Linked DNA regions of Cricetulus griseus. The protein of the gene in region 3 purifies or fractionates together with the protein of the main gene of each other region. This does not show direct contact. Links are inferred from orthologs where the notes say so. Each region holds a gene or a part of one and is shown on either strand. Other genes may lie near its edges.

Region 1 (8,195 bases), on a different chromosome or scaffold from region 3:
CCGAATCTATGCAAAATTTGGTCAATTGCTGGTACTTGAGATAATAACACTGATATTATCTAAATGAAGTTTTTTTTCCAGAGGGGGTTTGTTTTTCTAGACAAGACTTACTGTGAAGTCTTGGTCTGGAACATGCTATATAGAATACACAAGTCTCAAACTTACAGCAATTCTGCCTGCCACCTCCCCAATGCTGACATTATAGGCAAGAGGAACATCAGGCTTCCTTGAGTACTCAGAAAGTTGAGTGACACACACCTTTAATCCCAGCCCTTAGGAGGGAGAGACAGGTGGATCTTCACATATGTAAGACAAGCCTGGTCTACAAAAGAGTTTCAGAACAGCCAAAGCTACACAGAGAAACCCTGTCTTGTAAGACAAGGAAAAAAAAAGGAAAGGAGGAAGAGGAGTTTTATGAGGGAGTATAGAGTGGTTTCTGAGACAAGGCCTCACTTTGAAACATCGGATGACCTGGGATTTACAACTTACAGCAATCTTCCTGCCTCTGCCTCCCTAGTGTGAGGACTACATCTGGCTTCAATGAGTATACTTGAAAAGTGAGCTCTCCTTGGACAAATAAAGCAACGGTGAACTTGCTTCTATGTTACGACTCAGAATGTTTACTGAGCTAATAGAAATGCAAAGTCCAAGAGAAGGCATTTGGTGAGGGGTGAGCATTGCAAGTTCAACAGCCAGTCTGGACAGTATAGTGAGACCTATTCCAAAACAAAGTTCACACACACCACACAGACACAGACACATGTTGAGACATGGTAAAGCATTTGCCTACCAAGCATGTTACACAAATGGTCCCAAGTTCAATCCCCTCTTCTGAGAAAAAAACTGAAACACAACCTCAAACATAAATTCAAAGCAGGCTATCATACACCAACTCAATTATTCTCTCTCTGTGGCAAGGAAATTGAGCTCAAGGGTTAGGCATGTTACAAAAGCACACTACCACTGAGTGGTAGTCCTTCAACCACTATGGCATACAAAACCCTAAACTAAGTTCTGTCATTTTACTCTGTCTCAAAAGTCTAACAACCAAGAAGAGAGAACTGGAATTCTGATTAGAGAACCACACAGAACCTGTCACAAAGCGTACAAAAGCCAGAAGATACACACCTTTTAAGGACAATTGGAACAGCAATGGAGGGGTTCTTCCTCAGACCGTCTATGATATCAGCTGCTTTATCAGCATATATCCTCTGGAGTGCTTTCCGATGGATGACTTCTGACGTGCCGCCAAGGGTATTATCCAGGCGAAATTTAGCTTGCTCTTCAGCAGACAAGCGGGAAAGTTTTTTCTGTATTGCTTCCAGAACCCGGATTGTTGCAAGATTGGTCTCTAAAACTACATCAAGCTTAAAACAAAACAAAACAAAAAAGAAGGTACTCAGGCCAGAAACCAGAATACAGTAGTTATGAGAATAAGGAGCGTGTCAAATTCCTCAGGATTGGAGTCCTGTATAGTTCCTATACAAGCCATGTAAGGCTCTCCATCAGTAACATATGAACAATGGCATATACTACTTTCATGAGGTTGTTTTCTGGAAGAAATGCCATATGCATAAGTCATAAAGCACACGAACTTCTCGGCAGCCACCACTGTCACACACTGCTTGGCACTGCCAAACACAGGCCAGGGGGACTAAGAAGGCTAGTATACTGATGCATTTCCTTATACTTTTGTTTGTACTTAGACACAGTTTTAATTATGGATGACCTAGAACATAACATGCTCTGTAGACCAGACTGGTCTTCGACTGTGGTAAGTTCTTGCCTCTGGCACCTAACGCTGGGATTACAAATGTGAGCCGCAATATCTGGCCTATCAACTTTTCTCACTTGAGCAAACACATTACAAATAGTAAGAAAACAATCCAAAGACAGCTGTGGGACTAAAGGGTATAGGAGTCTTAACTTAAATGTCTAAAACATTTAAATATTAAATTACTGCTTCACACCCAATGGCAACAAATTCAGGATTATTATCCTTTCCTTTTGAAAAAGAGTATCAAGTAGCCAGACTGGCGTCCAACGGGTCTATGCACCCAAGAAGGACCAAGAATTCTAAACTCCTTCAGCCTTCCCCTCGCCAGGGATTATAGGTACACTACATTACCCAACTCGAAAAATGTTCTTCACCTTGATTAGAAGCTGGGTATGGCGGCACTCACATTAATCCCAGCACTCAGGAGGCGGAGGCAGAGGCAGAGGCAGATGGATCTCTGAGATCAAGGCAGCCTGGTCTACATAGAGTTCCAGGATAGCCAAGGCTACACAGAGCCCTGTTGCAAAAACAGGAAAAACAAAAAAAACAAAACAAACAAACAAACAACTACCCATAGAAATTAACACTTAATACAATTTAGTTTTCTGCAATAACTAATCAGGCCATTAATTCTAGAGGAGTGGTGGTTTGAATGAGGATGGCCCCAATAGGCTCATATATTTAAATTCTTAATCCCTAGCTCAGAAAACTGTCTGGGAAGGGAAAGAAGGTGTGGTTTCACTGGAGGAGGTCTATCACTAGGGGGTGGGCCTGTAGATTTCAAAAGACTAGTATGATTCTCAAGGCATTCTTCTCTGCCTCCTGGTTAAGGATCAAGATGTGAGCTCTCAGATAGTTCTTCTCTGTACCACATGAACTCCCATCTCAAACTTTAAACCAAGTCAATTCTTTTATAAGTTGTCTTGATAATGAGATTTATCACAATTATAGAACGGTAACAGAGATGGGGAAAAGATGGCAACCACCAGTCAGTGAGGAGACAGCATGTGATTCTTCTGAAGAGGAATGTTGTATGAGATCTCTCCCACTGATTTGAAGAAGCAGACCCAGTCAACACAGTGTAATGAACATACTAAGTCAAACACATATATGCAAAATACAATTGACTCCCTTTGGTGTGGTATTAGTAAACATCATCTGAATACTGGAGATGTTTGAGTCTAGTTTCAGAAATTCCCTTCCTGCAATAAGGGATATCTCTACCAGCTGATTCATTCATTCTAGATCTTCCCATCCCAGCCATCCCCTTTAAAATGTAACTCTTACAGGCACTAGGGCACTTTTTTTTTTAAGCTGCCTCACACAGAGTATTTAAATACCCCTTCATTTCACATCTTCCTTGTTCCCCAAACTTCAAATCACAAAGGAGGATACCTCAAATCGTTCATCTTCACAACGATAAATATGTTCTTCATACTGAGTCTTCTTGGAACTAACAAAAGTGGAATCTTCAGACCATGATGGGAAGGAAACCCAGGTATCATTTAAAACCTTTGGGTAGAAAAAGAGGCAGAAAAGCTTGTTAAAACTTACTGGTAATTAAACATTCTCAATAAAAAGACAATACTATAGAGAGGAAAAAATATTTGGTGTCCTGGTTAGTTTTTTTGTAGCTTGACACAAGCTAGAGTTAGTTGAAAGGAGGGAACCTCAATTGAGAAATTGCCTCCATAAGGTCAGACTATAAGATCGGAAAAATTTTTAAATTTTTCAATTTTTTTTAAAGATTTATTTATTTAATTACATGCCCTATCTGCACATACTCCTTTATGCCAGAAGAGGGCATCAGATCCCACTAGAGATAGTTGTGAGCCATCACATGGTTGCTGGGAATTGAACTAAGGACCTGTGGAAGAATAGCTAGGCCTCTTAACTGGGAATGGAGTGATGGGGAGGGGATTCCAAGTCATTGTGTATGGTTCCATGCTGGGTCCTGGGTTCCATAAGAAAGCAGGCTGAGCAAGCCAGTAAGCAGCACCCCTCTATGGCCTCTGCACCAGCTCCTGCCTCTAGGTTCCTGGCCTGCTTGAGTTCCTCTCCTGACTTCTTTCAGTGACGAACAATGATACAGAAGCATAAAATAGATGGTTTCCCAAGTTGCTTTGGTCATGCATGGTATTATATCAAGAACAATAGAAACCCAAACTAAAACAGTTCACAAAAGAATAGAGTAAGGGAAAGTTCTGAATACAAATTTTCTTTTGAAAAAAGGTTCATGATTTCACAATTCATATAAATCCTGGCCTTTCTTGTAAGACAGGGTTCACAGCAGATAAATAAGGGCACTTGCTATCAAACCTGACCACCTGAATTTGATCCTGGGAACCCAGATGGTAGGAGGAGAGAAGCAACTGACAAGTTGTCTCTGATCTCCACAAGCAGACCACATTTCATATACATATACACATATTAAAAATAAATGAAAACTTTAAAAAATTCTGGCCCTAGTACTATCTGTCAATACCCTGCTTTGAAGAAGCTGAAGATCCAAGGCTGACCCTTACCTCTTTACACAGAGGAGTCCGTCCTGTACACTTGGGCTGCTGGTAACTTTTTGGCAGGGCTCGGTAGCTAGAGCCCAGTCGTTTACAAGAGGCGTAGTCTATCTCCATTGCAATGCCTTCTGTAGCTCGTTCCTTTGGAAAGCTTTCTAGATGTACAGACTCCTTATATCCCAGAAAGTTTTTAAACCAGTTAAACAATTCAGGGAATTTCCTGAAGAACAAAACCAAAAGCTGGTAAGCAATTCAAGGCAGGATGCAGTTATTATGAGGAACAACATTACAGTTCATGGTGGGTCACAACTCTACTGCCAGAGTTAATAATTATTTTCTACCTGAGAAGCATCCTTTAACCAGTTAAGTTCCATTTTCCTTATGTAGTATTTTCCAACAAGACAGTAAGAAGCTAAGAAGCCATTGTTTAGAATATTGCCTCACTTTTCATATAATCCCCGGGATGGCAAATATAATCAAAATTCTAGAGCCCTGGAAGATCAGTGCCTATAAACATGTAGTGCTGGTCAGACAATCAAGAGACCATGAGTGCCGCATCACAGCTGATACACTGTTAACACTTTTTTTTTTTTTTTGAGGTGGGAGGTGTGGGGGGTGGTCCTCTCTGTAAGCCAGGTCATTCTGAATTCACCTGCCTCTGCCTCTATGGTGCTGGAATTAAAGGCATGTGCCACCAAGCCGAGCTCTACCTGTTTTCCCAACCTGAAAGTTATACTAGAAGACTTATAAGGCACCTTCTGACACTGTCATTTCTGACAACTACTCAATTACCTTTGTTTTACAATCTCTGCATTATCGTATCAGAAGTACTAGAAGCTGTGCTCCTCACTTCACTTACCCCAGAAAAGGAGAGACTAATTGTACAAGCTCAGCCCGAGAGATCACCTCCTGGTTAAATATAACAAGACAGCGCAGAAAGTTATCATACGCCTCTGCACTCCGAAGAGCCTTTCGGACCTTATGGAAACAATCAGAAGAAAAACGGTTACAAGGAGAGTCAGGGTCATCAATTTCTTTTTTTAATAGAGTAAATTTAATCTGATATTTACTAAGGAATTGCTGTTATTTTATTTAGACATGATCAAAGAAACCACCTTAAAAAGCAAAAAATGAGACAATGTAATCTGTCTCTAAACAATCTAAAATGAGTATGAATACATATGGAACAAACACATAGAACAGGCAACGGAACTACTGACACTTGATAAGAGCACAAAGGGTCGTTTTATTATCTCTTTAGTTTTACATGTGTTCAGAATTTTTTATAATTAAAATGTGAGACCATGCACTACACCTTCTCATATGCTTGCTACTTCAGACCAAGTCAATTACCTAAGCTTCTGTAGTCCATCTTAAGAGATACTGAAAGAAATTTTTCAATACTGTTTTAATAGTCTTGTTAATAAAACTTTTTGTATGTTGTTTTGTTTTAGGCATGATGTCATGTAGCAGAGACAAACCCTAAACGTGCTATATATAACCAAGGACAGCCTTTAAAATCTGGATCTTCTTCCTCCTAAATGCTTAGAATGTCAGCATTCTTAAGACAGAGGCAGCAGGCACCACACCAAGTTCAAGACCAATCTGCTCCTGAGACCAGCCTGAGATTCAACAAGGTCTTGCCTCAAAACACAAAAACAGGCTGATGGGTGTGGGGGGAGGGCAGAAAGATGGCTTAGTGGTTAAAAGTGCATCCCATTCTTGTAGAGGACCCAGGACTAGGTGGCAACAAACATGAGGTAATTCATAACCACACCTATATACTCATGGCATATGGGTGTTCATAAAGGCACACATATACACATCTAATAATTAAATCTTAAAAATGACAACAAAAACAGCCTGAGGATATGGCTCAAATGGCAAAGGGATTCTTTCTCAAGCAGAGGACCAGAGTTTGGACTCCCAGCACCGACATAAAATACTAGGCACAGGAATATAAAACTGTAATCCCAGCTCTCGAGAAGCAGAGACAGGAAGACCCCTGAAGCTTACAGACAAGTCAGTGTACCAATTTGTGAGCTCTAGGTTCAATGAGTCCTTCTCTCAAAAAAACAAGGCAGAGAAGCAACTGAAGATAATACCCAACACTAACCTCTGACCTCCACACATATATATGCTCAAGTGTTCTCTCTCTCTCTCTCTCTCTCTCTCTCTCTCTCTCTCTCTTCTCTCTCTCTCTCTCTCTCTCGTGCTCGCACACACACACACACAAACACACACGGGGGGGGGGGGGTTTGACAACACGGGACATTGAGAGATAGCTCAATGAATAAAACACTTGTCATGCAAGTCTAAGGAAAACGTTGGGACAAGTCAGACGTAGTGTAACATTTGTAATTCCAGCACACCTACTGGGATTGAGTTGGGAGGCAGAGATAGCAAATTCCCTCTACAAGCTCCAGGGCCAGATACCTTAAACTGTCAGTGGTGCTCAACAAAAGACCCTGCCTCAGGTAAGGTAAAATATTAGGACAGATATCTGTTTTGATGTGCACGTTCTAACATTCTCTCTCACACAACCTCCCACACACACACTTACAGCACTGAAAACTAATTTTTTGGGTTTTTTTGTTTTTTTTTCCAAATAGGATTTCACTATGTAGCTTCGGAGTCTGTCCTGGAACTCGCTTTGTAGACCAGGCTGGCCTCGAACTCACAGAGATCCACCTCCAAATGATGAGGAACTGAAAGCCAGCCTGGAATACAAGGTGAGTTCAAGGCTAACCTAAGTTACACATAGAAAGATTCTGTCTTCAAACAAAACAAACCCGAAGATTAAATAAAAACAATGCTAAAAACTCCTAATCAGTTGCCACTTCCTAAACAAAACCTTGGGGATTAGATGACTTTTATTGGTTTTTCGAGACAGGGTTTCTCTGTGTAGCTTTGGAGCCTATCCTGGCACTCGCTCTGGCCTCAAACTCACAGAGATCCGCCTGCCTCTGCCTCCCAAGTGCTGGGATTAAAGGCATGTGCCACCAACGCCCCGGGCTAGATAACTACTCTTAACAACTAATATCAAATGTTACTCATTGCTTACCTTATCAAAAAATAATGACTCAGTTCCAACACCATGCTTGCTGGCATCTGCCATTGAAGATTCCTTTAGACTAAGCAGTTTGGGTTTTTTCTGGAAATAAAAATAAGAAATAAAACAAAAACATACAATGCTGAGTGAATTTTCTTTAATTTTGCTAAAATGGTTCTACTACTACTAACTAATCAGAACAAATGAGATTGCAGTCACAAATTTCTATCATAACCTTTAACTCTGGGGTTTAAAAAATAAATCTTTAACCTATACTATTTCAACTTAAAAATCCATAGGGAAAAAAATTAGTTCATTGTCTAGTAGACAGCATAACCATCTTATCAGCATATCCACTCAAACTAATACTGCTAATGTTTTTTTTTTTTTTTTTTTTTTGAGAGTGTCACTGTGTAGCCCTAGATGTCCTCAAACTCAAAGATCTGCTTTGCTGCCCTGCCCATCACATCACAGTGTTGCTAGGACAGGTGTCACTGTAACCCCTAGCCATATTAATAATTTAACTTGAAAGCCACATGGCAGTGGCACATGCCTTTAAATCCCAATACTTGGAGGCAGAGGCAGGTAAATCTCTGTGAGTTCAAAGCCAGCCTGGTCTACAAAGTGAGTTTCAGGACAGCCAAGGCTACATAGAGAAACTATGTCTCAAAGAAAAAAAAAAAAAAAAAAAAAACAAAAAAAAAGTTTTAAAAGTGGGAGGGAGAGCCTGGCACAGTCTATATCCCTTCACTCATTAGTCTGAGGCAGGAGGGTTGCCATGAGCTGACAATTAGCCTGGACTACTTCTGAGTACCAGGTACAATGAAGGCCAAACAGAAATGAAAAGGCC
Region 2 (8,688 bases), on a different chromosome or scaffold from region 3:
GACTGCCACAGTACAGCATGGCATAACCCCTCTCAAGGTACAAAACAAACACACAAAAATGTAATTTCAAAAAGGATCGTGGCTGGTGGAATAAGGAAACATCCTTAGCATACCTCCTCTACAGACAGCACAGTGTATAAGCATGAAGTCTACAGCCAACCTTGGTTGTCACTATAAAGCTTCTGCATTTTCAGGATCAGAAACACAATGCCAACTGAGGCTCAAAAGTTAAAATGAAGGATGGCTGTGCAGCCCCAGGTGGGCAGAGCACAGACACACTGAGCAATGTGACCTCTTCTTCTCAACACTCACACAGAGGTGTTACAGGCAACCACACACACTAACAAGTCTGTCTGAGCTGTGAGTCCCGGGCTGGGGTGATACTTTTGCCTCGACATGGAAAACGCCCCCAACTTCCCAGTGATAAACAGCAACAACAAAGGCTTAAGAGAACACCCTTCAAACAAGACCTTTTCATTCCTCAAGAAGACTGGCAAATGCAAGACACCTCTTTTCAGAACAGTGACAGGCCTGAGGGCCCCATCCCAACCCCTCTATCATGACAAACCCTAATGAGCTCATATTCATCACGACTAAGAGTGTTCAGCTTTCATCACAATGGCTGCCTAGCTTAGTAAGCATGAAGGAGACAAGATCAAGCAAAGCATCTCTGAAACTGCTGCTGAGGAGGCTGGAGAGGTGGCTCAGGGGTTAAGAGCACTGGCTGCCCTTCCAGAGGACAGGGTTCAGTTCCTGCCCCTATGTGGCAGAAGACAGCAGTCTGTAACTCCAGTTCCACGGGATCCAATGCCCTCTTCTGGCCTCCTAGGGCACTGCAAATGTGGTACACAACATGCAGGTAAAACACCCATACACAAAAAAGAAAAATAAATGGATCTTTATTAAAAAAAACAAAAACAAACAAACAAAAAAAAACTGTTTCTGAAACATGATAAGGACAAGAGGTAGATGGGGAGATGCCCAGAAGGCATGTGTCTGAGAAGTCTGTGGAACCCAAGCCCCACTACACAGAGGGAGTAGCCAATTCTTGCCACTGAGCCCTCTCAGAAATGGAATGCTTGCAGAATGATAAAGGAAGGGGAGCGGGGACGACACCAGATCCATTGTGATCACATCCTAGAAGAGTCTGTGACAACCCATTTCAAACAAGCCACCAGATGCCACCAGTAAAAAGCTGGCAAAGTAGAAAGGCCAGGCAGAGTTCCGGGACACAACTGAGAATACACATGTATGAATTATTCATGTAACCTTGTTTCAGCACTGACCACACCTGGCAGAGTTGCTCCTTTGGGTTCAAAAGCTAGAAAATGTCAGATTCCAGAGGTGGCCAAGCACATTGTTTAAAGGAGACTCTGGGGGTCAGAAACGTGGACCACCTGCCCTATAGGAGCGGAAGGGTCCCAAGACAGACCCAACAGGGTCTCAAGATAGATCCAACAGGGCCTCAAAATAGAGCCAATCACCACTTTCTAAAAACTGGGCTAATGCCTCACAACCTGTAATCCAGCACTCAGGAGTATGAAGCAGAAGGGTTGTGATGAGTTCAGGGCACCCCTGGGTGACAAAATGATTTCCAGATAACTTTGAACCATGGAGTGATACCCTCTGGCTAACTCATCTTTCCTGGACACAGATAAAGTTTGGGGCAGAACAGTGGCAGGCACCTGTAGCCCCAGCTCTGTGGGTGGCTGATGCAGAAGGACAACTGGAGCCCAAAAGTTTGAGACCAGTGTGGCAACATGGCAAGAGCCAGGTTTGTTTCTTGTTGGCGGTTGCTAGTATTTTTCTTTTTCTTTCTTTCTTTCTTTCTTTCTTTCTTTCTTTCTTTCTTTTTTCTTTTCTTTTTTTTTTTTTTTTTTTTTTTTTTTGGTTTTTTCAAAACAGGGTTTCGCCGGGCATTGGTGGCGCACGCCTTTAATCCCACACTTGGGAGGCAGAGGCAGACGGATCTCTGTGAGTTCGAGACCAGCCTGGTCTACAAGAGCTAGTTCCAGGACAGACTCCAAAGCCACAGAGAAACCCTGTCTCGAAAAACCAAAAAAAAAAAAAAAAAAAAAAAAAAAAATCAAAACAGGGTTTCTCTGTATTGTTTTGGAGTCTGTCCTGGAACTAGCTCTATAGACCAGGCTGGCCTGGAACTCACAGAGATCCTCCTGCCTCTGCCACTAACACCAGGCTCATGTTTTTCTTTATTTTAACAAAACAAAAAACAGAAAAGAAAGAAAGAAAGAAAGAAAGGAAGGAAGGAAGGAAGGAAGGAAGGAAGGAAGGAAGGAAGGAAGAAAAAAAGAAAAAGAGCAAAGCCAGGTGTGGCGGTGCACACCTTTAATCCCAGCACCCTGTGAGCTGGAGGCTAGCCTGGTCTCAAAATCATTTCCCCCACTCCACCCAAAAAAAGCACACAGGGCTTTAGTTTCTCTGGGCGCATGTGACCATGGCTGAAGACAAAGGAGGGGCTTAAGTGAGGATGTGTGAGAGCAAACAGAACGGATGGCAGGAAGAGTTCAAAGAATGCTCCAACCCCAGCTTTCCTGAATTCTCAGGACACCTAGAGTATTGCCAACAATATGCAGCCTAGGGGCCTGCAAGATACCCATTTCTCTGGGCACCAGCTTTCAAATCAGATCTATGATGGCCTCATCACACCCCCTCCCCCATTATTTCAATCATGGCTCTTGCTAGCATACCGGCAGAAGAGCCCATAACAGGTGAAGACTCTTAGATGTGACCAGGGGGGGAGATTATGAGGAAATGTGAGCTTTGCAAACACTAAGGTCACAATCAGGGTCTCTATGAAGACTGAATCGACTCTGTATTCCAGAGGGAAAAGGCATAAAGCCGGACTCACTGCTCCTTCATCTCCACGTAGTCTTCCTCATCGTGCTTCGCCAGGTCTGTCTCACTGGCGTCCTCAGTGTCTGCGTGAAATGAGGGAAGAAATGACGGCTGAGATCAAAAGTCACAGAACTGGTATCGTGACAGCATAATTAATGGGCATCTGGGAGAATAATAAATTTCTACCCACTTCGGGTCTGCATGAACCTACTAGCAAAAATAAGTGCAGTAAATGTGGTTAAAACAAAGAAGAAAATGCCAATGCCTTTTGCATCTTGGATTTATGCTGAGTATCTGCTTTTGTTTGACATACAATCAGGAAGAGGTCACAGCAGACAGGCAGACCTGATGGAGGCCACACAGCAATGGTGTGCAGAGAGGACCTGGGTGCGTACATGCCCATCCCACCACACATTAGATATAAACGGTAAAAAGGAGGCCGTCCCCACAGCAAATTCAGTTCTAAAAACTGATATGTTTTCAAAGTTAACAGATTAAAAAAAGGGAGGTGGGGAGGAAAGAAGATCATTTTTAAAAAATTGTCCAAGCCAGGTGATGGTGGCACTTGCCTTTAATCTCAGCACTCTGGAGGCAGGGACATGTGGGTCTCTGTTAGTTCGAGGCCAGCCTGGTCTACATAGCTAGTTCCAAGACAGTTAGGGCTGTCACACTGAGAAACCCTATCTCAAAAAACCAAACAAACAAGCAAACAAACAAATGAATAAATAAAATTGAAAAATTGATCCAAAACTTGCATGGCCAAAAATAGGGGCTGGAGGCGTGGCTTAGTACAGTTAAGAAAGCTGTTCTTTGCAGAGGATAGGGATTGGTTCCCCAACATCCACATCAAATGGTTTATACTGTCCAGTAACTCCAGTTCCAGGAAATCTGGCACCCTCTTCTGGTTTCAAAGGGCAACTGTACATACGTGGTGCATATAAACTCAGACACATAGACATACACATAAACAAAAATTAATTAACTAAAAAAACATTTTCAATTATATTTATTTCGTTTTATGTATATGAATGCTTCATCTGCATGTGGGTGCACCACTTAACTTGCCTGGTACCCACAGAGGTCAGCAGGCACTAGAGCCCTTGGAGCTGGAGTTGCATATAGACAGTGCGCGAGATCAAAACCCGGATCCTCTGAAAAAAATCAGCAAGCGCCCTAAACGGATGAACCATTTCTATAGGCCCCCATATATAACAACAACAACAACAATAATAATAATAATAACAACAATAATAATAATTTAAACAGGTCTTGAGCAAATAGGTGAATCCAATAGCCCCTACATCCAAGGGGATCAAATTTTGTCTTCACATCGCCCCCTCGTGGTCATTAAAAGCAATGCAGCGTTTCACATTTCGAAATCCCTGGTTTAAAAGCCTTGCCTTCAGTTAAACCAAAAGCAATCAGTTCCTTCAACTTTCTGCTCCGCGAACGCCGCTTTTTTTTTTTGGGGGGGGGGGTCGGGAGACACTTTCACAGAGGTCCTGTCTAGAGCCAGTCAGCTATGTCCCTTAGAACTAGAGAGACTAAGAGGAGCAAGACGATACTCCTAGCAGACAGTTGAAGTAGCTTTTGCTTTTTACAGCCCGACTTTGTGCCAGAATCCTACACTCCACTCAAAGGCCTCCCCGGTTCCCCTCCGTCTCCACCTCTCTACCTAGCTTCTCCCCCACTTAGCTGGCTCCTTCCTCAGTAAACAAAGTCCAGACTGAGAAGTGAAGACCCGAGGAGCGATAACGCAGATGCAAAACACTCGGGGACTGAAGACGAATCCCGACCTCCCCCCACTCCCATGCTTCCACTTCACAGAGGCAGAGCGGATTTCATTTAACCTACCCAGGAAGTGAGGACTCCATACTACCCTGCAAGTAGGTGGGTAAACAAGCCGCTGGGCAGCTTAAGGCCACAAAAGCCGGGGTGGGTGCCAGCCACACGAATACTTACACCCGGCTGGTTCCAGGTCCCCAAGTGGAGCTAGGGGGTTAAGCATTTCGAGGAGAGACGCTGGGCATCACTGAGACCCAAGTGCACTCCGAAGTATGACTTTCTCCCCCGCCACCCAGAAAGGAGCTCAGACACCGAACGGGAACACAATCTTAAAGGGACCCCTGGTTCTCAAGAGCTCTGGCGACTTCTGCCCCCTGCCCCCTAGGCCCCCGGGCTCCGATCCCAGCCCGGGCCGCACCTTCGTCGGACTCGCGGCCCCGGCAGCTGCGCTCGTCGTCCTCGGCGCTCTCCAGCTCCTCGCTCGTCGCTCGGGCCGCCTATGTGTCCCGCGGAGATCGCGGCCGCCTGGCTGCGCCCCGGACGGCCCCCACCTCGCGGAGCCACAGCCGCGGACACCCGGTGCCCCTTGGTGCCGAGCTCCGCCCCCGGCGCCCGCGCTGGGCAACGGGGGCCTCGCGCGGACGGCCACTTCCGGGTCGGAGGCTGCCCGGAGACAGCCTGATCCCGCCATCCTCGAGGCGAGGGGTGAGACGCCGGGCTCCACGTTCTCTCACAAAGCAGCGCCTCCTTCATCGTCGTCTTTAGAATGCTCGATCGGCCGGCCACGGGGGAGGGGCGAAGGGAGGTGTCGCTGAAGTCAGGCATATCCGTGGGCAGCCCTGCCTGCGGTCAGGACCCCGAGGTTGGGAGGACACTTCCGGAGACGGCCGCCAGGCGGCGCCCGGAGTCAAAACTAAAGTGTGTGTGGAGATGGAAGCGACCTGATGGGCGGAGGCTTTGCAAAGCCCTGAATGGGTGGCAAGGTCTGTTATTCAAGCAGATGAACGAAATCAACAGTTCCTTTGGTGGGTGTGGAAGCCTAGATAGCCAGAGTGTGTGTGATACAGAAAATGAGGAGTCTGCTTCCACCCTTGCCTTAATGGGGCTTAAGAATTAAAGGCAAGTTGCTGCCATTCCGTCCCCGAGTCCAGTGAACCTATGTGTCCAGTGTACCCAGGCCTCCCTCGTGCTTCCTTTTGAATAGATTTACCGGGTAAGCTGTTTTCCTGATTTGACAAATGATCAAAGAGCTATCATTCTCCATAAAAAAAAAAAAAATAAGAAAAAACGGTGGCATCAGTTTAGAATTACATAGCCAGGCTGCCCATGGGACTGCTGCCTCCTGTTTCCTCGAATATAATTTCTAAGGTACTTTTGCCTAACCCAGTAACTAGTTAACCTGCTCATTTTCAAGTGAGCAAATAAAGCATTTCCCTACAGGAAATACGTTGGCTAAAATTCAAAAGCCAACGCTGGGCATAGAGGCGCACTGTTGTAGTACCAGCACAGGGCAGGCAGATCTCTGAGTTCGAGGCCAGCCTGGTCTACAAAAGGAGTTCCAGGACAGCCTGGGCCATACAGAGAAATCCTGAATTGAGAACAAACACAAAAAGGCAAGAAGACAGAGTTTCTGCATTTGTTAATTTGCCTGGCTGTGTACCTCACCCCACCCCACCGCCCCAAAAGGGAAACGCAGTATTACAGTTTTGCTTTAAATTAAAAAAAAAAAAAAAGCCTGTCAGTGGTGGTGCAGGCCTTTAATTCCCAGGACTCAGGAGGCAGAGGCAGGTGGATCTCTATGTGGCCAGCCTTGTCTACAAAGCAAGTTCCAGGACAGGCTCCAAAGCGACACAGAGAAACATTGTCTAGAAAAACCTAAATAAATAAATAAAAGTGGGCTCTGCTTAGTGGGTCAAGACTATAATCCCAGCTACTCTTGAAAATAAAAGCAGGAGGGACAGCAAGATCAAGGTCAGCCAGCTTAGTGAGACCATATCTGAAAACAAAATAAAAACAAGGGCCATGGATGCTGCTGGGTAGAACACTTGCCTGGTATGCTGGAAACCCTAGCTTCAATTCCTAATGCGGGGAGGTGGGGATGATGTGGCCACAGTAACACCATTCAGTTGACTCAAATCTGCACTGAAAAACGGAAGAAGTAACAAATCCAGGCAGACGAGAATGCAGTGAAAGGCAGGGTGGAACCCAATACACAGTCTTTCTGATTCTCACAGCCTTTGTGATCAAATTTATTAAATTGGCCCCAGAGAGACTTCTAAAATGGAGAACACTTGTTTTGGGTCCCATTCATTCTGACATCTCCCATTTACTACCTTGTTTTAATTAAGTCTTGGTTCTCTTTGTAAGAGATATTTCCTCTGTGTAAAATGCAAGAATTTCCAGAATGCAATGCTGGATGCGTTTCCCAGAAGTCCCAGGATCTGAAACCCCTTCCCAGTAAGAAGAGTCTTTCTTCAAGCTCATCCTCAGTAGAGGTTTGCAGAGGGGTCTCTCCTGCAGAGGATGAGGTCAGTGTGTGTGTGTGTGTGTGTGTGTGTGTGTGTGTGTGTGTGTGTGTGTGTGTGTGTGTGTGTGTGTGTGTGTGTGTATCCACCCGCTGTTGGAGTTGGATCACCTCTACTATCTTAACTCCACGTTGAGGGACTGGAGCTCCCATTAGTAATGCTATTCACAAAGCAAAGGGGGGAAAATGAAGGGCAACATTTTTGAAATCAGAATTCATTGATACAATGAATCAAAAAGTAGTTGGTTTTGTTACTAAATGGTTACAAGAAGCTGGGCCCTTCTCTTGTAATCTTGCTTGCTTTTATTTCTGTCTCCCTGATTGCTTGTCCTTCGTTAATAGTCATGGGTTTCTGTTGTATGTGTATAACAAAGACACAAACCTGGGTGATGACAGTTACCCCTTTTCTTCCATGGAGACAGCAGAGCTGGCCCAATGAGCAATTTATGTATTAAATGCTCTTCTGGAACAGGGAAACTACATTTTAAAAACCCTTTGTGACTTTAGGCTTGGCCAACTTTTATTCTTTTATTTATCTATTTATTTATTTGTTCCATAAGCCAACTTTGCCTATAAAGCCTAAGTTTTCTTCAAAATCAAGTTTCACCCCTTAAAGTCCACCACTGCTTCTCTCCCTAATATGGTACTCAGTCAGTCTGCTTAGTAAATACCTACCTCAGAGTTTGACCTGAAACTCAAACCCTGGAGCCCTGTGTTCACAACTTCAGGCCTTCTCAGGAAGCCTCTGTGTTCCCACCATCCAGATTTTAAGGGTGCCCAGTGGTTGGGATGAAGTTTGATTTGCAAACAAAGTTTAGTATGCAAATTTGGGAAAAGAGCAGTTTTATGACATGCTTTTTTAAAAAGGGGGAGGGGTAAGTGTGGTGGCCACCACACATCAGGGACAGGCAGATAGATCTCTGAGTCCAAGGCCAAACTATCTACGCAGAGTTCTAGGGCTACACAGTGAGACCCAATCTTAGATAAACAAATAAATAAGAAAAAAAAAGTTTGTAGAGCATTTACTTAGCGATAAGGCGTGTCTACGTCTGCCAAGGCCTAGGGTGAAAATGTGCCCCTGCAGAAAGCTATTTTGAGCTTCTACCGTTAACTGAAGCAACACAGCCATTTCCACAAAAATATGAGACTGGTCCTGGTGCACTTTAATCCCTGGCAAACACTATGCTTCAGCGTGGCTCAGGACGGATCCAGGTTATTGCAGGGTGCACTTGGGGTCAGAACTCAGTGTCCTTCCACCTTTGGTTCCTGAAAGCCTGTGGCCCTGAAAGAGGTTCAACTGAATATGCTTGCTGGAACCTTGCCAAAGTTAACGGGGTTCCCTACCCCAGATCCTTGTACAACAATAATAATCAAAACTCACGAAATGATTATTTCTTTTTTCACTTTTTTTTTCTTCTGTGACAGGGTCTAGCTATCTACCCCAGGTTGAACTCAAACTTGAGGCGATCTTCCTGCCTCTGCCTGCAGAGTTATTAGTTATTGGTGTTCACATCACATCGCGC
Region 3 (8,195 bases):
TTCTGCTGAGCTATCTCCCAGCTTCCTGCTGTTGACTCTTAAAGCAATAGTTAACTGGGGGGGGGGGCTCATGTACAGGGATGATCAGGATAGCCAAAAGGACAAGGCTGCTCATATTTGTAGGATATTCTTCTATTCTGGTTTGCTCATTAATGTTGGCTTGGCTTGGTGTTTTTTGAGATAGTTTCTCTCTGTATCTAGGTTAGCCTGGAACTTTCCATCTTCCTGCTTTGGCCTCCTGAGTGATAGATTATAGGTATGATTTAATGTCAGCTCCAACAATCCAGTATTTTTTGTTTTTGAGACAGGGTTCCACAATGTAGTTCCTAGCTGGCCAGAAACTCCCATTTGTAGACCAGAATGACCTCAAACTCACAGAGATTGTCTTACCTTTGCCTCCTCCCATATGTTGGGATTAAAAGTGTATAGCATAATACCTAGCAGTTCTAGTATTCTTTAAAGATGTATTTTGAGATAATCGATCTATAGACCAGGCTGAGGCTGGCCTTGAACTCAGAGATCTGCCTGTCTCTATCTCCCAAGTGACAGGACTAAATGCATGTCCCACTACCACCCAGCTGTTTTTCAGTTGAAAATTTTCTCATTTTTGCCACTTCCTTTAAAAACACGGAGCTCTAAATTTTTGCGGTGTTTTAAGATATTTGAATTTCTTATAATCCCTGAGTCAAAAGCAGGGTCATCAGGCATTCAAGGTCAGTCTCATCTGTGTAGAGAATTCTGACTAGCCCATACTACATGAAATCAAATCAAAACAAGAGGTTAGCCTGACCTACAGAGCAAGTTCCTGGACAGCCAGGGGTATATAGAGAAACCCTGTCTCAAAAAAACCAAAACAACAAAAAAGTAATACTTTAAGGTGGGTATGATGGCACAAGCCTTTAGTCCTAGCACTTGGAAGGCAGAAGCAGGCAGATCTACATGAGTTTGAGGCCAGCCTGGTCTACAGACAAGTTCTAGGAGAGCCAGAGAAACTTTGTCTTCAAAAGTAACTAAATAGGCTCTTATATTAAAATCATTCACAGTATGAAAGGAGTTTATGTGTTTTGTTTTCGAAGTACACACAGCATGTGTTGTTATTCCCATTTCACAAGTTACTTGAGATTTGTTCTGTTTTTCAACTTATAATGGGTATGTGTGTGTGTATTTGGGATGTGTATACTTAAGCATCCCACAGTATGCATGTAGAAGTTAGAGAACAACGTTTTGGAGTCAGTTCTCTCTTTCCATTTTTATATGGATTCTAGAGGTTGAACTCAGTCAGTGCTCTCAGGATTGGATGTCAAGTGTTTTTTACTTGCTGAGCCATCTTGCTAGTCACTGAGACAGATTTCCCAGGCTGGACTTGAACTCCTGGGTTCAAGTGTATTTGAAACTAGGTCCAACCAATGCCCTGTTCATTCCTACAAAATTTTATTATCTCTAAGATATGTTAGATTTGGGAAGCCAACATTCTACCATTCAGGTATCCTTTGTCCCTAAGTGGATTTCTTAAAGTATAATGCAGTTTTTGATACTGCCGTGACAGGCCAAATGTGCTGTAAAAGCTATTAAATACCAAAGGAAAAGTAATAGTTGATTTGCAGCTTTCCCAAGTATGTATTTGAGCCTCAAAACCATATATGGTATGTGACTAGTAAAAGACATTGAGATGTTCCCAGCATGCATCCTATAACTGTCCCCATTTTCTCTTCTTTTATGGCCACCATCAGGTGATCCTGTGTGGAGTTGAGCCAGTAGTTTTACTGTGACCCATATAACACTTGCCTAAGGGTTACTTTAGATACTTCCAGGCCTTCTATTTGTCATAACATGAAAACACATTTAATCAAATGATGACCTGTGTAATTTATCTTTTTTTTTTTTTCCTCTAGAGGAGTGGTCCATTTTAGAGATAACATGTCTCTTTGAAACCCAGAATGGCCTGGAGCTCCTCCCTTAGCCTCCTAAGGCCTGAATTACCATATCTTGCTAATTTAATTCTTGATTTGGGACCTTTGTTACTTCTCTATAAATGCTTGTAATAATGAATTGTATTTTAAACATTTTAAGCCTTATTTTCAGGTTCCATAGTTTTAAATGTTACTGAAGGCTGGAACCATAGCTCATTGATTGAGCATTTGCCTAGTATGTGCAAGGCTGTAATTTTTAATCTCCAATACTGCAGACAGATAAGCAAACAAGCAATAACAGATTGTTACTCTTTTTATGGATTTAATTTTAGAACACAGAAAGAGATGACTGAATTAATTTCTAATGTTACTTTTTTCTAGCTTATTATTTTTACAGAAGAAATTATTCTTTTTTGGTATAAATAGCTTAATGTAATCAACAGTATTTCGTACCTTGTAAAAGTCATCACAGCTCTATTGACCCTTTAATGTCTGTAAATGTATGAAAGAAGCTTTTTAGAACACAGAAAAGTTGGCAGGATGTTTTTTAGCATTTTATCAGCAGCACTCCCTACCCTGGGTTGTTTTGCATTCTCTAAATTGTAGTAGGATGCTTTCTATCAGTGTTGCTTAACTACAACATGCTTTCTTGGCAGGTCTAGAATGGAAACAAAACAAAACACCTACTTGCTGCTTAGGAGCAAAACAAAAGTGTAGAAAAGATTGTAATTTCCCATGTACGTGTTTGGTTTCAGTAGAGCAGAGGGTAAACCTGGAGGATTTATGAGGGTTTGGTTCTGTCAGTAGCTATATTGACCTTAGGACAGTCAATTTGACTCTCTTTGATGTCTTGATTGCATACTCCTATCAGGTTGATTTAAGAGATCTCCAAGAGCCTTTGAAATTGTAAGATGTTGGGACTCAATATTTGAGCTTTCTATTTGAATATAGCATAGTTCCTTCTGAGACATGTAGCTTACATATTTATGCTCATTTCTTTTCATTTTAGATATGATGAATGGATTAAAGCAGATAAAATAGTCAGACCTGCTGACAAAAATGTACCAAAGATAAAACATCGGAAGAAAATAAAGGTAAGCCTTGATTTTACCATGCACCATTAGCTGTTAAGTGCATTTTCCTTCAAAAAAAAAAAAAAAAAAAAAAAAAAAAAAAAAGGCCAATTAAATGCATGTGCTACTCCTGATGTTATCTTCTCTTGAAACGCACTTTTACCAGATGTTAGATTTTGCTCTAATTTTGTCACCTGGTGAAAAGGTTTTAGGAACAGTGCTAACTGATATTGGAGGCCTTTTCATTCTCAACATTGTATAAAACTGTATGACAAAATTTATCCATTTAAACCTTTCCTGTCTCTTGTAGTTCCCAACTAGGAGCCATCATGCATTGCAGGTAGGGGATGTGAGTTGTAAGTAGATGTAAGGTGAGGAGAGGAGATGTCTAAAGATAGAGGAGAGTATCTCTTCATCTATATCTGACTGGCTACTGGGTCAGAATGTTTTCAGCACCCTCTTCACCACACACTGCATAGCTACTATAGTATCTATGTTCTCATATGTGAAACTGTACTACTAACATGATAGGATTATTACTAATTATGAGATAAATATTTTAAATATTTTATTAAAAAACCCGGCCATTAACATCTTTTTCTTTTTGTTTTTTGGTTTTTCGAGACAGGGTTTCTCTGTATTGTTTTGGAGTCTGTCTTGGAACTTGCTCTGTAGACCAGGCTGGCCTTGAACTCACAGAGATCTGCCTGCCTCTGCCTCTGGAGTGCTGAGATTAAAGGCGTGCGCCACCAACGCCCCGCAAAATTTTAATCTTTTTAAGAAGGTTTTTTATACTTTGTGTGTAGTTCACATGCTTAGTAGTGGTTCTGAAGTCTTCTTAGTCCAATGAAACATTGTTATGTTCCTGTTTAGAGACCCCTTGTGGTCTCAGATGCTGAATTTATTTATCTTGTTGGCAATCCTTTTATCACTGTAAACTTGAGTCTAAGTTTCTAGTACAGTACTCCAGTACCTAAAGCTCAGGATTTCTTAAACCCTTTACATTTTTTGTTGGTCCTTATTGGAAAGTATGTAAATTATGCTATATTTAGCATTGTTTTTAGTAACTGGAAGAACATTTGCTAAATGTTTGTTAAAAATTCATGTCTTTGTACAAAGCAAGCTTTGGAATAGCATTGCTGAGTAGATGAGTCAGAGAAACAATGTTTGGGTCATGCACATGAAATGTTCTATGAATGTCTGTCTCTGTCCACTGCTTGGTACTAAACTAAACATGTTAAAATTCTTGGTCATAAGGAAAGAGGCTTGAGAACTATAAGTTTTTTAAAGTTTTATTATGCATTACTCTTTGGTATTGCCCCTCCCTCCCTCCCTCCTTCCCTCCTTCCCTCCTTCTCTCCTTCCCTCCTTCCCTCCTTCCTTCTCCCTCCCTCCCTTCCTCCCTCCCTCCCTCCTCCCTCCCTCCCAGTTTTCTTTAAGAGCCCTTGTTGGAGAAACTCATTTGACAGCCACTAAAAAATATATTTGAACTTAGACTGAAGTGAATTGTTTCAGCCTTTGGTGCACATGGTACATTGTGATTTCTGAGATCAAGTCATGAAATGCTGAAATGATGGGAGTAACAGTAGACATAGGCTGTGGTAGTCTACCTGCCCTTTTAAAGATGTTCTATAAGTTAGGCCCAGTCCCTTGATCCTTATTATTGAAACATGTACCAGATAACATGGAGAACACATTAAAACAGGCTGTCTGGTTCCATTGTCAGCATTTTGATTCATCTTGTTTTTAGGGGTCTGCTTTTCTAGCAAGTTCTCAGAAATTGCTGGCTAAGGACCCCACTTGGAGAACAGCCGCTACCCAAATTTTAACTGTTACATGTAAGGGAGTATTTTTCCCATGTACTATCTTTTAGAGACTTGTGAAAATAATCACTCATGTTTTCAGTCTGTCTATGTAATAGGACTTAAGAATTTTTGTTGCTAAGTCATACTGTGAAGAGCCTAAATTGCAAAACAACAAAAAACATTGCTTATAGGAATTACCTTAGCCTTGACTCATTTGTTTGTTAACTGAGCGTGAGAAAAGTATCAGCCTTTGAGTGAGGTAGGAAGGCTGCCTCTGAGCTCACTTCACAGCCTGTCAATGCATGTAATTTCTCCTGTAAATTTCAAAGTACAGAACTTGGCTATTGTACTTTACAGTGAGAATGTTCAATTTTAATATGAGTGTTGAAATTGAGTGTTTAATTTTATAAATATTAAATTTGGATCTATTATTTAATTTTCAAGAATTTGTAGCAGTTATTAGCAATACTCAGTTCCTACTCTTAGTCATCTTTTCTGTTTGATCCCTACTGCTAGACTGTAAATACAGAACAATTTTTTCATCTCAGTGTTTTCATGAATAACCTAAAATAAACCTGATTATTTTGAAGTTTTTCTTTTTGCATTTTCTGGTATTCTTTCTCAGTTAAACATTTAATAATATTAATAATAATAATAGGCATTTGATGTTTCTTTAAAATAGAATGAATATTGTTACTAATAAGTTGTTCATAATACATTATAGCTAATATCTAATGCTTTACTTACCTAGAATAAATTAGACAAAGAAAAAGACAAAGATGAAAAATACTCTCCAAAGAACTGTAAACTTCGACGTTTGTCAAAACCACCGTTTCAGTCAAATCCATCTCCTGAGATGGTTTCAAAACTAGACCTTGCTGATGCCAAAAACTCCGATACAGCTCATATTAAATCTATAGAAATTACTTCCATTCTTAATGGACTACAAGGTAAATATAACTGTTGCATGCAAGTATTTGATTTTAATTTCTATAAATATTTAAATGAATTTAAATGTGGTTGTGCATGACTGTAATTCCAGTACTCAGAGCTGAGGCAGGGGGATTGAGAGTTGAGGCTAACCTGAGTAATAAATCAAGAGAGTGTCTCAAAAAAATCCACGTATTCCTACCTCCTGCCACCCAGAAAAAATTCCAAAAGTTAAATTCTATAAAAGTAGTTCAGGTTGGTTTTTTGACCAGAATTTGCTGTGTGTGTTATTAGTTGGGCACCTCCAGTGTTGGGTTTCTCTACTTCTTGTCAAACACTGTCCTTTGTGATGCTGTCTAAAACATAGTTGTGCTGTGTATTAAGACTGTAAAGCAATTCTGAAAGTTATTTGTGAAGAACTCATCTGCTTGTTTGTTCTTTTTATGATGCTGTTATGGTAGCACACATGGTAATAGTGAAGCAAATAGTAACAGAGAACTGGGCTGGAGAGATGACTTTGTAGTTAAAAGCACTTGTTGCTCTGGCATAGTCCTGAGTTCAATCTCCAGCCCCCACATGACACCTCATTAACCATCTAGCTCCAGAGTGGAGGGGATCTGACACCCTCTTCTGAACTCCACGGGCATCAGGCAAACGTTTGGTGTGTGTACACACACATACATCCAGGCTAAACATTCATCCATATAAAATACTAAATAAACTATATCTAAAAAGCTTTGAGAATTGGAGATTATTAAATCTGGCATGAAAATGTATTGGAACAGGGATCTGATCTACAAAGTAAATTAATTCCTTTCCCTAAAAATATTTTAAACTGCTCATAACTTAAGTTTTGGTTTTTATTACTTTTGACTATAATAGAAATTAGATTTTCTCCTTTATTTCAGAAGACTGTATATGGATTCATTATATAAGCCTGCTACTATATACTATTCTAAAGTTTGCCTTAAAAGTTTTCTAATGTATCTGACATGTAGACTACTATATGAAAAAATATAGTTTAAAGAACAAGAATTAGACAACTTTAGTCACGAGCAGGTAGCAGTTAATTAGGTGTGCCTCCTCAGGAGTTATTACTACCTTAACTTTATGTAACATTTTTTTAAAAAGTAGGATTTAATTATTTATGAGTATACTCCTAAATAAGATATTGTTTATTTTAAAAACAATAGTGAACATTTAATGTAAGCCTCAATTTATGAGAAAGCTTAGGTTGAGGTTGCCTTTAATGCTGTTGGGGCCAAATGTAGTGCACACCTTTAATTCCAGTACTCAGGAGGCAGAGGCAGGCAGTCTCTTGAGAGTTTCTGGCCAGCCTGGTCTACAGAGTGAGTTCTTGGCCAGCTGAAGCTACACAGAGACTTGTCTGATCAGATTCTCTAGGTTATATTCTGATTTCAGAGTGTGCTTTATTAGAGAAAGATTTGTTGTAATACCTTCTTTGGAGAGGTAGGTGGTTCATTCTAGAATGATTAGCTGGCTAGAAGGCAGAGGAAGTGGGTCTTCACTGCACATAGTGAGTTCCAGGATAGCCAGGAGTACATAGAGAGACCCTATCTTGCCCCTACCTGCATTCCGTCCTCCTACCCCCACCCCAATATTGGGAATGGGAGGGCAATCTTGAGGAAGAATTATCTTGAGGAAAAATGTTGTTTTTGACTTGGCTGGATAGAAAGAATCAAGAGCTGTTCTCTAATATAGGTTTTGGATTTTTTGTTGTTGTTGTTGTTAAATTGAGGATTTCCTTGTCCTGAATACTCAGTAAAAATATTTTTTAAGGATTTATTTTATGTGTGTGTGTGTGTTTTGCCTGCATGTATGTATTTGTACCAAGTACCTGGTACTTACAGAGGTCAAAACATTGGTTGGACCCCTTGGAATCGATGTTAGAGATGGTTTTGAGCCACCGTGTGCATGCTGGGGGACTTAGGTCCTTTACAAAAGCAACAAATACTTTTAATTGCTGAACCATCTCTGCAGCCCTCCATAGTCTCATTTTGATGACAATGTTTTCTAGTACTTTAAGAGCAAGTACAAGAAAATGGCAAATTTCCTAGTTGTATTCACTTGAAAAAGTTTCTGTTCTAGTTACAGGTTTTTTGTTTTGTTTTTGTTTTGTTTTTTTTTTTTTTAAGTCTGTTTTTCACTAGTTTACCAAATGCTACAGCCTGGATAGAACACAAAAAGAAAAGGATTTTTATTTCTTGCATTGAGGGCATTGAGCAGCCCTCTGTGGTGAGAGCATCACAACAGTGGTAAGTCATGCAATAGCTAATCCACTACTGTGAAAAGGACATCAGTCTGTTCATGACATAGGCACTTCTTAAAGTTCCCACTTTGCCAGTATTGTCATAGTGTCAGTTAAGTTTCAGCTTCAGTTTTGAAGAAGACATTTAAATCCTAGCATCTAGGATAGAAGTTTTTCTTTCCATTTTTGTTTGTTTGAGGCAGACATA
Region 4 (7,130 bases), on a different chromosome or scaffold from region 3:
CACTGTAGGCCAATTTGGAAACTGGACGGTCAAACTGAAGAACTGACTGGAGTGAGAAGAGGTTTTCTGTTTAGTCTAGAGAGATAACAGATTGTCCAAGTGGATACTTTCAGTCCAGGCTCAGTTCAGGCCCTGCAGGAATCCACCAGATAAATACAGCCTATGGACTGGAAGGCTGAAAACTCAGCTGGCCATTTGTGTCACCGAGTATCGGGAGTTGCTGAAGACAGAGGTGTAACAGGCATGTACCTGGAGGAAGGAGGGCTCACCATGCCAGTCCAGCTCTGACCTTTCTGTGCCATCAACTCTGCTTCCTCAAGTAAATGAAGAAAACTGTCCCGCATTTCAATGCTCCATTGTGAAAGTAGTCAAAGCCCTCTCCCCCTCCCCCCTCAAATCATTATTCTTCATAAATTCTGTTTCCAAGTCCTGATTCTTCTGGGTCTACACCTTTTCCTTTCGCTTCAATTTTGACACTTTCTTGACAGTCCCGTTCTTGTTGAGGAGCTTCAGGACCCTATCTTTGTGATCCAAAACCTTAAGCATAGAGTCTCTGGCTTCGCTGATTTGGTCCATCACTAGTTTACACCTCTGCATGTTTCCCTGGAAGAGAAGGCACACTATTACCTGGCTGTCATGGGAATGAAACAGCTTTTAGAGGCCTGTTCACTCAGAGAACAGAGAACAAGGCTGACTATACTATCCCTTTGAGTTCTTGGCCAGGGAGGCCTGAGGCCCCACTAGAACTAATTTGTGGGACCTTATTGCTGCATGTTTTGGTAAAAGGACAAAGGGAAATCAAGATGGACATGGATTTTCTTCTTGCTGGCCAGCCCTTATTGTGTTGAGAGAATTGTTATCAATAGTCTTAAGTCTTACTTAAGTCTTACTTATCTTGTAGTCCCTGTGTGCATTACCAACTGGCCAGGCAAAATGAACTTATTGGTGCAATGGTGGCCAGTCTGCTATAAAGGTAAAGGACTCCTTCTGATTGGATTTGTGGTGGCTCCACAGAAGGAAATCCATTTCTGACTCCATAAATCTGAGTAGACGCCTGTGGCTGGGGAGGTCATAGGCTCACTGGTAAGGAGCACATATTTTTGTATACACCCACCCATGCTCCTTGAAAACAACTCTAATGAAACTCAAGGGGTTACTGGAAAAAAAAAGACATTAATGTAGAAAGAAGACTAATTAGAAAGAAGAAAGAATCAGTGAGAGGGAGACAAAAGAAAATAACACTTAAAAAAGGTGAAAAAAGGGGCTGGAGAGATAGCTCAGCAGCTACGGGTGTTTGCTGTTCTTTAAGAGGAACTGAATTGGGTTCCCAGTCATGTAGGTGTTCACAACTGTTTGTAATTTCAGTTCCAGGGGATCCAACACTGTCTTCTGGTCTCTGCATACACCTGCATGTGTGTGGCATAAAATATAGGTATATCAGGGGATCCAACACCCTCTTCTGGTCTCTGCATACACTTGCATGTGTGTGGCATAAAATATACGTATATAAAACCAGAAAATAAAGTAAATAAAATGGTTGAGCACCTCCTGGTAATGCATACTGAAGTAAGTAAGTTTGTACAAAAACACTCTTGCAGTGGGGAAAGGAATATGGGAGGGTTTGGAGAGAGGAAAGGAAAGACAGAAATGTTGCAATTAAAATTCAACCCAAGTAAATAGACAGATGAAGGAAAAAGAAGAGATGCTTTCGTGACCAAGTGGTACTCAGAAGGCTGAGGACTCATCAAACCTGTATCAGCTCATTTATTCGATGTAGATCATCATCTGTTGCTGCTTTTTTCTTTGGGATAATTCCTTCCTGTAGGTTGGTAAGTCTCTCATAAACATCATGTTCTAGGTTTGTCTGCAACACACAAGAGGGAGCACACTGTGACTCCAGGCATGGTGGGAGGCAGGCTTTGTAGAGAAGACCCCTGCCTGCTCTCCAAAGCAAGATGGCACAGGTCTGAGCCCTAAGAGGAGCTGGTAGGTCACTGAGCCTGTTACTTGGTGAGAAACAAACCGTGTGGTGGCCAATGGTGAAGGAACTGCTAAAGAAGAACCTTCTTGAGGAAGCAGAGTGCTTAGGAAAAGAGGCTCATGGGAAGACCACTTAGCTCCCCTCTTTTCATATGTCCTGACAGGACATAATATTCAACTTTAACTTCAGGTCATTTTTTTTTGTTTGTTTGTTTTTTTTGAGACAGGGTTTCTCTGTGTAGCTTTGGGGCCTATCCTGGCACTCGCTCTGGAGACCAGGCTGGCCTTGAACTCAGAGATCCGCCTGCCTCTGCCTCCCAAGTGCTGGGATTAAAGGCGTGCAGCACCAACGCCGGGATAACTTCAGGTCTTACACTACAGCACTTTCATATATTTTGGATCCAGGTAATTAGAACTAAAATTCAGGCCTGGATAGATGGCTCGGTGAGTTAAGACACTTGCTCCCAAGCATCATAATCTGAGTTTGATCCCCTAGGACTCATATAGTAGGAGAGAAACTACTCCCAAAGGCTGTCCTCTGACCCACCTCCATCAAATAAATAATTACCATCTAATAGATCTACTTGCTTTAATTGTGACATCACAGGCCTATGTGCCTTTATCACCCCACTTTAGGCAGCTCTGGGGATCAAACCCAGGGCCTGTGGTACATCAGGCTGGCTACCTACTGGGCTCCCTCTTTTGGCATGACACAAGTGACAGAACTGTACCTACCAGTTGCAGTAACTGGGCAGCACAGAGGTGGACTTTCCAGCCTTGGGCACGGCAGGACACTCCCTTCTGATTAGCTATTTCTTGTAGCATAGCTTTCTTCTCCTCTGGAACCACATACAAATAAAATTAAGTATTACTCCATTTGTTATAAAAGCAAACTCATTTGGGTTCAAAGAGTTTACGTGTCAATATTTTATCAGAATTTCTTTCCTCAAACATCTTTATAAGTAAGTCTTCTGCATTTACATCAGGGGGAAGAGGGGCCAACCATATGTGTAACATTTTTTCAGACAGGGTTTCAACATGTAGCCCGTCTGGCCAGAAACTTGCTGTGTAGACCAGGCTGACCTCACTCACACGCTTCTCCTTCCTGAGCACTGGAATTAAAGGAGGCACCATTATACCAGCTTCTTTTCTGTGTTTTCATCAGTTCCACGAGAGAGCTTTTAAGTCATATTCTGCTAACCGGAGCTAGCAGGACAGCTAGCTCCTATGGTAATCTTGCAGAGGAGAAATGGTCTTCTGGGAAAGAGACCCTTGTTCTATGTGTGGGGCTTATGTGCAGCCAGAGAGCTGGACTAGAAATTCTGGAAGCTTTTTGGAGAGTTACCTATAATTTAAGAGAATTACCAAGTGGGGATTCTTTTTTTTTTTTTTTTTTTTTTTTGGAGACAGGGTTTCTCTGTGTAGCCCTGGCTGTCCTGGAACTCACTCTCTAGACCAGGCTGTTCTGGAACTCACAGAGAACCCTCTACCTCTGCCTCCTGAGTACAAGGATTAAAGGCGTGTGCCACCACCATCAGCTTTTTTTGGGTGGTGGTGGTGGTTGTATTTCTAATGTGAGAAGAGAGATTTAGATACACAGTAACCGGGCAGCACAGAGGTAGAGTTTCTTGTCTTGGGCACAAAGGGACAGTCCTTTCTGAGTATCTATTTCCTGTAGTATGCTATTCTTATCTGAAACCATATGTAAATAAACATAACTATAAATAAAATGAATATGATGTTATCACCAAGACTGGGAGGCACAGATTAGGTTTGAGGGCTGTCTGTAAAAAGGTGAGTTTAGTCTTATTTGCTCTGTAATAGGCCTTCTAGCTGGACTGTACAGTTTCATAGGGGAAGCTGCTGGAGGGTTATCAATCAGGTTGTGCTAGAGCTTCGGACTTTGTTTTGAGGTGAACCTACTTTGTTCTACAAACTGTATTCATTAAAAATTTATTTAATTGGAAAATATTAAAACACCAGTATCCCCCTGCAGGCCTTGAAATGCTATGTAGCTAAGGTTGACCTTGAACTCTTGATTCTCTTACCTCTGCTTCCTGAGTCCTAGGATTGCAGATACATGCTACTGTTTGCTTTTATGTAGTACTGGGAACTGATCCTAGGGATTCTTGCAGGTTAGGCAAGTACTCTACCGACTGAGCTCTATCTCTAACCCAGGCTGGTCTATAACTTACTAGAAGCCCAGGCTGGCTTTCAATTCATAATCTTTCTCAGTTTCCCAAGCACTGGGATTAAGCATGTACTACCATATCTTGTCCTTTCACCTGCAGTGGTGCACACACATACAACACCAATACTAGGAAGGCAGAGGCAGAAAGATCACAAGCTCAAGGCGAGTCTGGAATATATAGCAAGGGAGTGTTTCAAACCAAGTTCTGTTATTACCCAGGGCCTTGCACATACTATACAATTTACTATTAATCTGCATCAACAACTTTGTGTCTTCTCTTTTTTCTTTTCAGCTTTGTTAAGAGCTTTTTCAGAGAATGATTTTGTGTGTTTGGGTGTATTTACTTTTTTTGTTTTTTTTTTTGGTTTTTTGAGACAGGGTTTCTCTGTGGCTTTGGAGGCTGTCCTGGAACTAGCTCTTGCAGACCAGGCTGGTCTCAAACTCACAGAGATCCGCCTGCCTCTGCCTCCCGAGTGCTGGGACTAAAGGCATGTACCACCAACACCCTGCTGTTTTTACTTTCTTTCTTACCACATTTGTCCCTGGTGTCCAGGGAGGCCAGAAGGCAGCACTGGAATTCCTGGAACTGGAGTCAACTAATTATCTAATTGTAAGCTACCGTGTACCTGCTGAGAACTGAACTGAGGTCTTTTACAAAAGCAACCAGTGATCTTAACCACTGAGTCATCTCCTTAGTCTCTCCCCTAGGTCATTTTAAGTGTTTCATGTATGTGTTGAATGGAAGATCTTTTGGAAACAAATACCTATAGTGTACATAATCATTTTAGCATCCTAGAAATTATAATGCACTCTGTCTACGTTAAACTGCAATACAATTACGGGCTCCCTGTGAGTACTTGGGGGAACCAAGGAGGTTAATGAATCAGTACTCAGGGAACTGTTAACACACAGAACTTATTATAACTAAGGCTTCTCCTTGTTCATTTCACTGGGATTCCAATAAACACACAGCTTTCTGGGAACAAAGAATACTTCTCCACTGTTATACTCAACTGTATATTGCATATTTTGGTTGGAAATCAGAGAACTGTGATCCTAATACTTTTTATTGTGACTACAATAGAGCTTACATGTTATGCCATTTCATGATTAATACTAGACATTTCTAAGGAAACTAACCTTTGACCCGGACATCACTGTACCTCTGGAAGTGGTGGTAAGCAGCTTTCCAGGGGTTCCGATAGTGACGAAGCAAAGTGATGGGAGGTCTTGGTCGCACTGGGACATATCTCACCCCTTCTTCATCTATTCCAATGAGAAAACAGGAGGGCATTAAGTGGCATGTTAGGTATCTTAAATAATCCTCAACATTCAATTGCAGTGAGTGAGACACAAATGAAACTGATGCTCTGAGATGGACCTGATTAGGTGGTAAGAGCCAGGTGACGATCAGCCAGGTGGCCTTACCAATGTACTCTTTGGGCGGAGACTTTCGTTTCTCAGCCTTCACCAGAAGACTTTTGGCAGTGGACTTCTCATCATCAGTGCTGTTTGTCTCCATCATATCCCCTTCTTCTGTTGAGATCACATGCTGCTGCTTTCGAGGCTTTTTCCTTGGGGAGGCACCAGGTGGTAGGTCACTTGTAGGCATGGACAGGTTGCTTGCCAGCAAAGCCAGAGATGGAGACACAGTGTTGGTAGCCAGAGGAGGGACTGCTGTTGGGGGTGAAGCACACACACCAGTGAGAACCAAATATTGGAAAGCTTCCCTCAATTTCCAGGATAACAATTATGAAGACAGCTGGCTGGCTAACAAGTACAGAGGTTTCTTATGGGCCTGGCAGTATATAAAATCCTCTTAGGCAGGAGTTGTGAGCTGCTTCCTACTATCTACCAGGCACTGAGAAACTTAGCGCTATTCTGAACTAGTGTGGACCATATAGCAAGGGCTTCCCAATTGCACAGGTTCACCTGAATTTTCTTTTTCTTTCTTTTCTTTTCTTTTTTTTTTTTTTTCTGGTTTTCGAGATAGGGTTTCTCTGTGGCTTTGGAGGCTGTCCTGGAACTAGCTCTTGTAGACCAGGCTGGTCTCGATTTCACAGAGATCCACCTGCCTCTGCCTCCCTGAATTTTCATTTTTATTCTACCTTACATGAACAGGTTTCCTATATTTAGCTACTGTTACTCACTTCTAACAGTCATATCCTATATATCACTGTTACTAATAACTGCAAACTGCCTCACATCTATCTTAATCACTAACTCTCCAGGAATTTCCATTGAGTAGTGGCTTCTAGCAAGCCTTGGACCTCACAAAGAACTATTGCCTATTAGCCCTCCCATTGGCTGTCCTAGAATTGATTCTGTAGATCAGGCTGGCTTTGAAGATCCCTTTGCTTCTGCCTCCCAAGTGCTGGGAAAAACTGTGTGTGCCACCACTGCCTGGCTTAAGATCCCAACTTTTTATTTCACTGTTTGTCCTGTGACCACTCTCTTTTATCATTCTTCCAACAAAGGCTGACTGCTTCAGTCGTCTCTGATGCACTGTTGGAAGGAGAGGGTCACTCCACCCAAATGGAAAGAACTTAAGTGATTTCCTAGAATAAAACCCTTTGATTCTCCACAGCCTCAAGAATATACTCAGGACAAAGCCGTTTGTACCTGTAAACTATTAAAAGACTAATTTTTTATTTTTCCTTTTTTAAAAATTAGCTGGCATTACAGACAGTGAGCCACTGGACCAGATTTCTGTACCCCAGTGAATAATAATAATAATAATAATAATAATAATAATAATAATAATAATAATCTCTTCTATCTGTACTGATTTAATTGAAAGCAGAGCCGTTCAGCTGCTTGTGCTATGTGTGTCTGTCTTTATTCCAGGGAGGGAGCAGCCTTATATACAGACTTAGGACACAGTGGAAAAATCCCAGGTGTAAGAGCTTATGTTTTTGATGACAGCGGGGCAAGGCCCGGGCTGTAATTCAGGACTAGA

The links.
Region 1: the proteins of Arid4b (region 3) and Sin3a purify together in Homo sapiens (affinity purification with mass spectrometry; 5 studies listed by BioGRID, with this or other methods). This does not show direct contact. The link is inferred for Cricetulus griseus from reciprocal best matches to the Homo sapiens genes ARID4B and SIN3A.
Region 2: the proteins of Arid4b (region 3) and Suds3 purify together in Homo sapiens (affinity purification with western blotting; 3 studies listed by BioGRID, with this or other methods). This does not show direct contact. The link is inferred for Cricetulus griseus from reciprocal best matches to the Homo sapiens genes ARID4B and SUDS3.
Region 4: the proteins of Arid4b (region 3) and Sap130 fractionate together in Homo sapiens (co-fractionation; 4 studies listed by BioGRID, with this or other methods). This does not show direct contact. The link is inferred for Cricetulus griseus from reciprocal best matches to the Homo sapiens genes ARID4B and SAP130.

The regions. Positions count from the first base shown.
Region 1 is NC_048597.1:168,625,898-168,634,092, reverse strand, and holds part of Sin3a (paired amphipathic helix protein Sin3a), read right to left. Parts: intron 7,448-8,195; coding exon 7,358-7,447; intron 5,272-7,357; coding exon 5,153-5,271; intron 4,514-5,152; coding exon 4,303-4,513; intron 3,290-4,302; coding exon 3,173-3,289; intron 1,368-3,172; coding exon 1,129-1,367; intron 1-1,128. UniProt on the Homo sapiens protein: Acts as a transcriptional repressor. Corepressor for REST. Interacts with MXI1 to repress MYC responsive genes and antagonize MYC oncogenic activities. Also interacts with MXD1-MAX heterodimers to repress transcription by tethering SIN3A to DNA.
Region 2 is NC_048597.1:97,074,072-97,082,759, forward strand, and holds the start of Suds3 (sin3 histone deacetylase corepressor complex component SDS3), read right to left. Parts: upstream 5,467-8,688; coding exon 5,218-5,466; intron 5,139-5,217; coding exon 5,060-5,138; intron 2,940-5,059; coding exon 2,870-2,939; intron 1-2,869.
Region 3 is NC_048596.1:237,299,135-237,307,329, forward strand, and holds part of Arid4b (AT-rich interactive domain-containing protein 4B), read left to right. Parts: intron 1-2,919; coding exon 2,920-3,004; intron 3,005-5,539; coding exon 5,540-5,738; intron 5,739-8,195. UniProt on the Homo sapiens protein: Acts as a transcriptional repressor. May function in the assembly and/or enzymatic activity of the Sin3A corepressor complex or in mediating interactions between the complex and other regulatory complexes.
Region 4 is NC_048595.1:205,646,273-205,653,402, forward strand, and holds part of Sap130 (histone deacetylase complex subunit SAP130), read right to left. Parts: intron 5,849-7,130; coding exon 5,600-5,848; intron 5,438-5,599; coding exon 5,312-5,437; intron 2,820-5,311; coding exon 2,716-2,819; intron 1,865-2,715; coding exon 1,751-1,864; intron 604-1,750; coding exon 445-603; 3' UTR 1-444. UniProt on the Homo sapiens protein: Acts as a transcriptional repressor. May function in the assembly and/or enzymatic activity of the mSin3A corepressor complex or in mediating interactions between the complex and other regulatory complexes.